Linked DNA regions of Mus musculus. The main gene of each other region encodes a partner of the protein of the gene in region 2 in a complex. Links are inferred from orthologs where the notes say so. Each region holds a gene or a part of one and is shown on either strand. Other genes may lie near its edges.

What was found. Proteins that work in one complex are often made in the same cells at the same time.
Region 1: the proteins of Ap2b1 (region 2) and Ldlrap1 are in contact, whole or in part, in a crystal structure (PDB 2G30), measured with the Homo sapiens proteins. The link is inferred for Mus musculus from reciprocal best matches to the Homo sapiens genes AP2B1 and LDLRAP1. Residues at the interface, in NP_001273.1 of Homo sapiens: Arg834, Gln835, Phe837, Leu838, Trp841, Glu849, Gln851, Ile876, Ala877, Arg879, Val881, Glu882, Gln884, Met886, Tyr888, Glu902, Arg904, Ser915; in NP_056442.2 of Homo sapiens: Asp253, Leu255, Asp256, Ala258, Phe259, Ser260, Leu262, Ala263, Gln264, Arg266, Thr267.

The regions. Positions count from the first base shown.
Region 1 is NC_000070.6:134,747,956-134,751,139, forward strand, and holds part of Ldlrap1 (low density lipoprotein receptor adapter protein 1), read right to left. Parts: intron 2,500-3,184; coding exon 2,427-2,499; intron 2,088-2,426; coding exon 2,004-2,087; intron 1,513-2,003; coding exon 1,382-1,512; intron 362-1,381; coding exon 327-361; intron 1-326. UniProt on the Homo sapiens protein: Adapter protein (clathrin-associated sorting protein (CLASP)) required for efficient endocytosis of the LDL receptor (LDLR) in polarized cells such as hepatocytes and lymphocytes, but not in non-polarized cells (fibroblasts).
Region 2 is NC_000077.6:83,337,096-83,340,733, reverse strand, and holds part of Ap2b1 (AP-2 complex subunit beta), read right to left. Parts: intron 1,422-3,638; coding exon 1,306-1,421; intron 1-1,305. UniProt on the Homo sapiens protein: Component of the adaptor protein complex 2 (AP-2). Adaptor protein complexes function in protein transport via transport vesicles in different membrane traffic pathways.

The sequences.
Region 1 (3,184 bases), on a different chromosome or scaffold from region 2:
CCCTAAGCAAAGCCCTGAGACAGGAGGCAATGAAGACCCTTTGCATCCAAAGGGGGAACGAAGGAGGCCCAGGGACCCGGGCCAGAGGAACCAGAGGAACCCAGTCCTCACCCGCAGCCTTCTCAAGCTACGCCTGCATTTTGACTGAACTGCAAAAGCTTTTTCACACATCAGACACCATGCAAGGTTTTCGTTCCTTCGTAGTAAGCTCCCGGTCTCGAGAAATCCAAGAATTGTTGTGCAGAAAGCTAAAGCCCAAGGGTAAAGGAGAGCCCAGGTCCAGCCCGAGACCTGCACCGAGCACAAGCCCTCAGAGTGTTTGTTACCTTGAAAATGCTTCGTCCAGGCCGTCATCCAGCTCCTGGGAAACAAATGGAGAAGTAAGAACTCTGGGTGGGGTCGTGTCCCCAAGGGAGCTACAGGGACCCGGGACCTGTATGTGTGTGTGTGGTGGGGGGAGGGGGTGCCTATAGGAACTAGCACAGGCAGGCTTCCTTCATACCCAATCCATGGTCTCAAAACTGGGGCCTGGCCTGTGGACCATACATTTAATCCTAGTACTTGACAGATTTCTGAGTTTGAGGCCAAAGTTCAGAACAGCCAGGGCTATGTAGAGAGCCTCTGTCTCAAAAGTCAAAACAACCTGACAGAAAGAAAGGAAGGCAAGGCAAGGCAAGGCCAGGCCAGGCCAGGCCAGGCTGGAACCATGACAGTCACCAGGTGTCATTCCACAGTGACTCTTGGCCCAGAAGGCTAGCCAGGACCAAATGGAGCAAGGAATCCGCAGATGCTGGAGCAGGGTCCAATCGGTCCGTCAGTGCTGCTAGGATGCTAACATCTGCATTGTCTATGATGCACTGGGATAATACAGACTGAAACCGACTGAAACCCAAATGAAAACTGAAATTAAGAGCCATTCAGGTTCCTCTGGGAGATGCTGTGGAAGGCCAGTGTCCTCACTGAGGGAAAGAAAAAGCTGACACAGAGGTCAGGCGCAGGCCATGAGTCCTGAGAGCCAGCAGCAGGGCTGTGCCCTTAGACAGCTGAGAAGGGAAGATGCCAGGCACAAACCTGCCATGCCCAGAACAAGGGAGCCTTTGCTGCTCAGGGTGGGAAGGGCCACAGACTCCAAGTCAGAGTATTGTGAGGAGACGGCTGTGCTGGGGACCAGGCCTGTCAAGGACACAACCGTGGCTTCAGAGGGGACATTGTTCAGCCACTCCACCCAGAGCCTGGGTTCTTTGTGCTGGGTCTAGTCCGCCCAGAGGCCTCTAAGTCATGGTCTCAGGGCCTGGACCTGGGAACCACTCCATGCTCGTTCAGAGACCTGGCTAAAGCTCACTGGATCCCCAAACCATGCCCAGGCCACAGAGCTACTCACCCAGACGACGCTGTTGTTGCCCAAGACCTGAGGCCGTGGTGTCTCGTCCACGTTGTTGGTATTAGCGCTGACTGTAGATAACGGGGCCTTAGCCACCTCTTCCAAATCCAGCAGGTTCCCGGTAGCGACCACTAGGGGGAGTCAGTTGGGGACATTAGGAAGAAAGGAGGTACAGCCCCTCTGGCCTCTGCAAGCATTCTGGTACTCCTGCACTATACTGGTCCTGACTTGTTCTCGGACTCTGACCTTGTCCAGATGTAGGACCCTGATCACCTGGATCCCCACCCGGACCCAGTTCCACCTGGAGCTCCAGGGCAGTTGCTTGCTAGAGAGGACCTGTGGCCCCAGAGGGCAGACCTGGAACCTGCAAATTCCTAACAGGAACTGAATGCACAAAAGCACACCAAGTAGGCTGGGATGTCTACCGGGCTCTGAGGCAGACAGGAGCGCATATGCACTTGTGCGTATTCCTAGGGCACACCCAGGTACGCGCACGAGCAAGCACAGCAACCTCTTAGCTCCCGACAAGGCACTTGTGTTGCAGACTTTAACAGAACAGGAAACAGCAAGAGTCCAGGAGGGAAGGCCTGGGTAGAGGGCAAGCCTGGTGCCCAAGACTCACAGGTTTTCAGTGAGGGGGTGCTGTCCCGTCGGGTCCCTGGGACGTCTCCTCCTTCCTGGTTGGCTTTCTCCCTTTTCTCTTTCTCTGTGGGATCAAGGCATGAGCTGCTGAGCCCTTAAAGCAGACACCACCGTCTCCAATTAGCCACTGGGGAGGAGGCAGGCTGAGTATGCTCAGAGGCAGGCGGAGGTCGCCATCAAAGAGGAGCAACACCTTCCAGGGTTCCCTTAAACCCAAACACTCTAAAGGAGGGGGAAGACGGCCTTTGTCCAGATGGGGAAACTGAGGCTTAGAGAAGTAACAGGACCTGTTCAGAACCACAAACCCAGGACGAGATGAGGGTGGGGTCAGCCTGGGTCTGACGCCTGCCTGGAACCTGTCCCTTCCCACATCACTCACAGTGCCCGGGGGGGGAAGACTCACCTTCCTTGGACACCTGCCAAAACTCAAAGGCAACTTTGAAGGCTTGGGCTACAGTCAGGGTGACGGCTTGGGCCTGAAAAACAGGAAATGGGGGTGGGGATGGGTGCAGTGTCAGCCAGCAAAAGCAAGTATGAACTGGAGGGCTGAGGGGGTGCCCACCCCATGCCAAGCTCCGAAAGGCTGAGGGAAGGGGGCAGGGGCCTAGCTCTCTCATTTCCCACAAACAGCCTAGGGCATAATGAAGCCACAGCCTGGAGAGGCAGCTGAAACCTACTGAAGCACTTCCTGTCCAGTCCCTCCAACAATGGCTGCTCACCACCTGCCTCTTCAGGCATACCTAAACCAACTGTGAGGGCTACTTCTTCTGGGAAGTCCTCCTGGGTTATCTGAGGATTCCCTACACTCACAGAACTCTTGGACCAGGTAGCAGAAGACAGGAGGCGAAGAGCCTAACCATACTTGAATGAACTACTAATGAATAGTGGAAGTCCCACTATTCAGGGTTACAGGGCATTTGGGGGTGCCAGCCGCTGAAAACTGACACCCCCCCCCCCAGCAAAGTAGGAGGTAGCACAATCGAGATGCTGGCAAGGGTTAGGAACAAAAGCCATCTAGCACATGACCAGCCTATGAGCGGGTGCCTTGGCGCCACCTCTGTCACCAACACAGGGCTTTACAGACCTGCCCACCTCCCTCTGGAATCTGCTGGTGGAAGTGTCTCTATCTCATAGGCTTACATCCCAATGTGTATGTTTCCT
Region 2 (3,638 bases):
ACATGTTCACGAGGGAATAAATTAACCTGTGGTATAAGAAAATACCATTATCTTGTGTTTAAAAATCAACCTTTCTTATAACTACGTATTCACCTTGCTGAATCTATACGTCCTTTACTAACATAACTTAAAATTTTATTTTTATTACTGAAGACTGAACCTAGGATCCAACACATACCAGGCAAACTCTTTCCTATGAGCAGTATTCTCAGCCTACTGCTCTCCTCTTGTTTAAAGCAGGGTCTTGCTAGGTTGCAAGGGTTGGCTTGAGCTTGTCCATGTCCTGTCTTGGCCTCCTGAATAGCTGAGATTATAGGCCCATGCCATCAGATCTAGCTGGCTAATGTGATTTTCAACATTAGACTGAAACAGAATATATTAATGTGGATAACTAGTATACTAGGCCAAGTATCTGCCCTATTCCTACTTATTAAACCAGACTCTGACTATTTTCTTGAAATTAAACTGTCATAACCCCTTATTTACACAAGTTTTACACATTTCTCTATTGATCTTTTTTTTTTCCTTAACCTGTAACAAAACAGTTTAGAAACTTGATCCTTCACTTTTGGAGGGAGTTGAGTAAAAGGTGGTGGTCCTCTTTCTAAAAATAACACTTCTCAAGACAAAACAAAAAAAAAATCTCACAAAAACCCAAATCCTGCACTAATTCTGGACTGCAGGTCTCAGAATCAAAGTATTTTGTTTTATGAACTAAGAGCCCCAGTAAAAACTTTGTGATGTAAATGATCCCTGTGGGAGCAGCCCCAGTGTGTCAGCAGAGGCCAGGGGAGTAACTTATTGAATGCACTCTGCTGCTCCCACAAGGCAGTGGGGCCCCATGCTGAGCAAACAGCATGGCGGCTGGAAAAGTTATTCTGAGAGGAGGAAGGACACAATCATTGGTCTGCATGGAGCGAGTGTATCAAGACACCTAGGGATAAATAGGCTTCCTGTGTAATGGTAACTCTGACACAACAAACAATCTTATGTGTTTGATGTAGTCTATGCCAAGTATATACTTAAGCTAAGCCTCATTTCTACAAAAATAATGAACAGCTGCTATGGTGGCTCATGCCTGTAATCCCAGCACATGGGGCCAACTTAAAACTCCATTCCCATATTTAAACGAGAAGTTTTAGTGTCTGTTTGATACCCACTATGTATCTCTGACTTCATTAAAAAAAAATCTACTATGACCAGTTATATATGGAATAATAATTCTTACCGAGTCAATTTCAAAGTGCCTTACTTATACGTTTCCCAAATGATCTGAGAAAGAAGATTACATGAATTTTGACATACTTGTTGGGGTATTTTCGGAAGATGTCCCTGATGACAACAATTGCCTCTTGGACCACATAATTTACTTTGGTCTGGATTAGATCAAGCAGTGTGCTTACACAGCGTTCTGCTGATTGCTAGGGAAAGAAACATCAACACTTAAGTTAATCCAATAACACTATCTCAACACAGAAAAGGAAACATACAAGTACACTGCCTGAGTCAGACAGGCACTGACTCTGCTAAAGCTACTAGAGGCTAAATGATACAATGTATATCAGCATTAACAATTCTAGGAATATACCAGATTTTATTCATTAGCAAACACATTGAAAACAGTTTTGGGTTTGGTTTTGTGTGTTTTGCTAGGAGCAAACCTCGGGCCTCCCACTGGCTAGTCAAGAGCTCTGCACTGAGCAAGCGATCTCTATCTTCCACATAACTCTGTTAAACGAGTGAACAGTAACCTGGACAATGGGGAAAACATTAAGAAAACCAAACAAACAAAAGCCAGGAGAGTAGAAGGAAAGGAAGGTAACTGAAGAACACATCAACACTGGGGATCCTTACTGGAATTCTTAAGTGAACAGACACTGAATAGGGTGTTTTTGGTGTTTCTTTACTGGCCTCTCCCTTCCTCCCACCCTCCCCTCTCCTTTCCTTCCCTCTCCTTTTCTTCCTTCCCTCTCTCCCTCTCTCTCTAGGAAGTAGGTAGGGGGTGTGTATGTGTGCGTGCTCTCTCTCTCTCTCTCTCTCTCTCTCTCTCTCTCTGATGTGGTTTCTGAAAACTGGGCTCTGGTTCTCATGACAGATCAGCAAATACTCTTAACCATTGAGCCATCTCTCTGGCCTCCAGCACAGCGTGTATCTAAACCTAGGAATTTTGTTTGGACTTACAATTTTTTTTTCATTTATCTATGGCTCAAAATATTCTAAGAGATTTTGTTTATTGTTTTTTGTTTTTTGTTGTTGTTGTTGTTTTTAGACAGGGCTTTTCTTTTTCTTTTCTTTTCTTTCTTTCTTTTTTTTTTTTTTTAAGACAGGGTTTCTCTATTTAGCCCTGGCTGTCCTAGAACTCACTTTGTAGACCAGGCTGGCCTCGAACTCAAAAATCTGCCTGCCTCTGCCTCCCAAGTGCTGGGATTAAAGGCGTGCGCCACCACACCCGGCTCTAGACAGGGCTTTTCTGTAAAGTCCTGGCTGCCCTAGAACTTTCTCTGTAGACCAACCAGGCTGACTTTGAACTCTGAGATCTGCCTGCCTCTTGCTCCCAAGTGCTGGGATTAAAGGCATGTGCCACCACATCTGGCTCCCATTCATCTTTTATTAATTGAATATATACTACAAACTGATAAAATAGATTTCTTGATACTGTGATTTTTTTTTTTTTTTAAGGATAGGATTGTGAGAAAAGTTCCCAAAACTTAATGGCAAGTCTGAACAATTATCCCTCTGAACTATTACAGGTCATTAAATTGTGTGCCTCTTGTCACAATTCAAAAGGAACCACACAACATCATCTAAAACTTTTGACTGTCACAAGCCTCCAGATTTAGTCATCTAAAGGGGACAGAGGTATGAGGTCCAATCTAGACTCTGGGAAAGTCTATTAAGTCTAAAAAGCAATCAATAAGTGGTACTGTATTAGGGCCAGCCAGATGGATCATCAGATAAACGCACTAGCCACCAGGCCTAATGACCTGAGACTGATCTCCAGGAGCCTCATGGTGGAAGGAGAGAATCAATTCCTACAAACTGTCCTCTGACCTCCACATATGGACCTTGGCTCATGCTGCCGCCTTGAACAATAAATATATAAAATAATAAATAAATAGGTAGCATCAAAAAAAAATGAAAATCAAAACAAAATACAATACCTAAGAACACATATTAACCAAAAGCTATGTACAGAAAAGAAAACAAAATAAAAGCCAGGCGTAGAGGCTCATGTCTGGAATCCCACATTTGGGAGACTGAGGCCCAGGGAATGTGAGTTTAGGGCTAGCCTGGGCTATATAGTAAGACTCTGTCTTAAAAAGTAAAACCAATGAGCACCCCAAAATGCTTGGGGGGCAGGGGGTATGCTGAAAAGATAAAAATCTATAACTAAGAAATCAATAAATAATAACAAAATTATTTATGGATATGGAAGTATCAAAATAATCTAATACAAAAGAGTTAAAAGCCATCCTTTTGGCAAGTGGATCTAGGTAAAGAAGGGAAGGAAGCAGGGGCAGTGATGTTTTGTTAAAAATTCTTTAATCTGAGCCTGAGAAGGCTTAGGGATTAAGAGCGATGGCTGCTCTTCCAGAGGACATGGATTAGAGTCCCAGCACCCACATGGTGGTCCATAA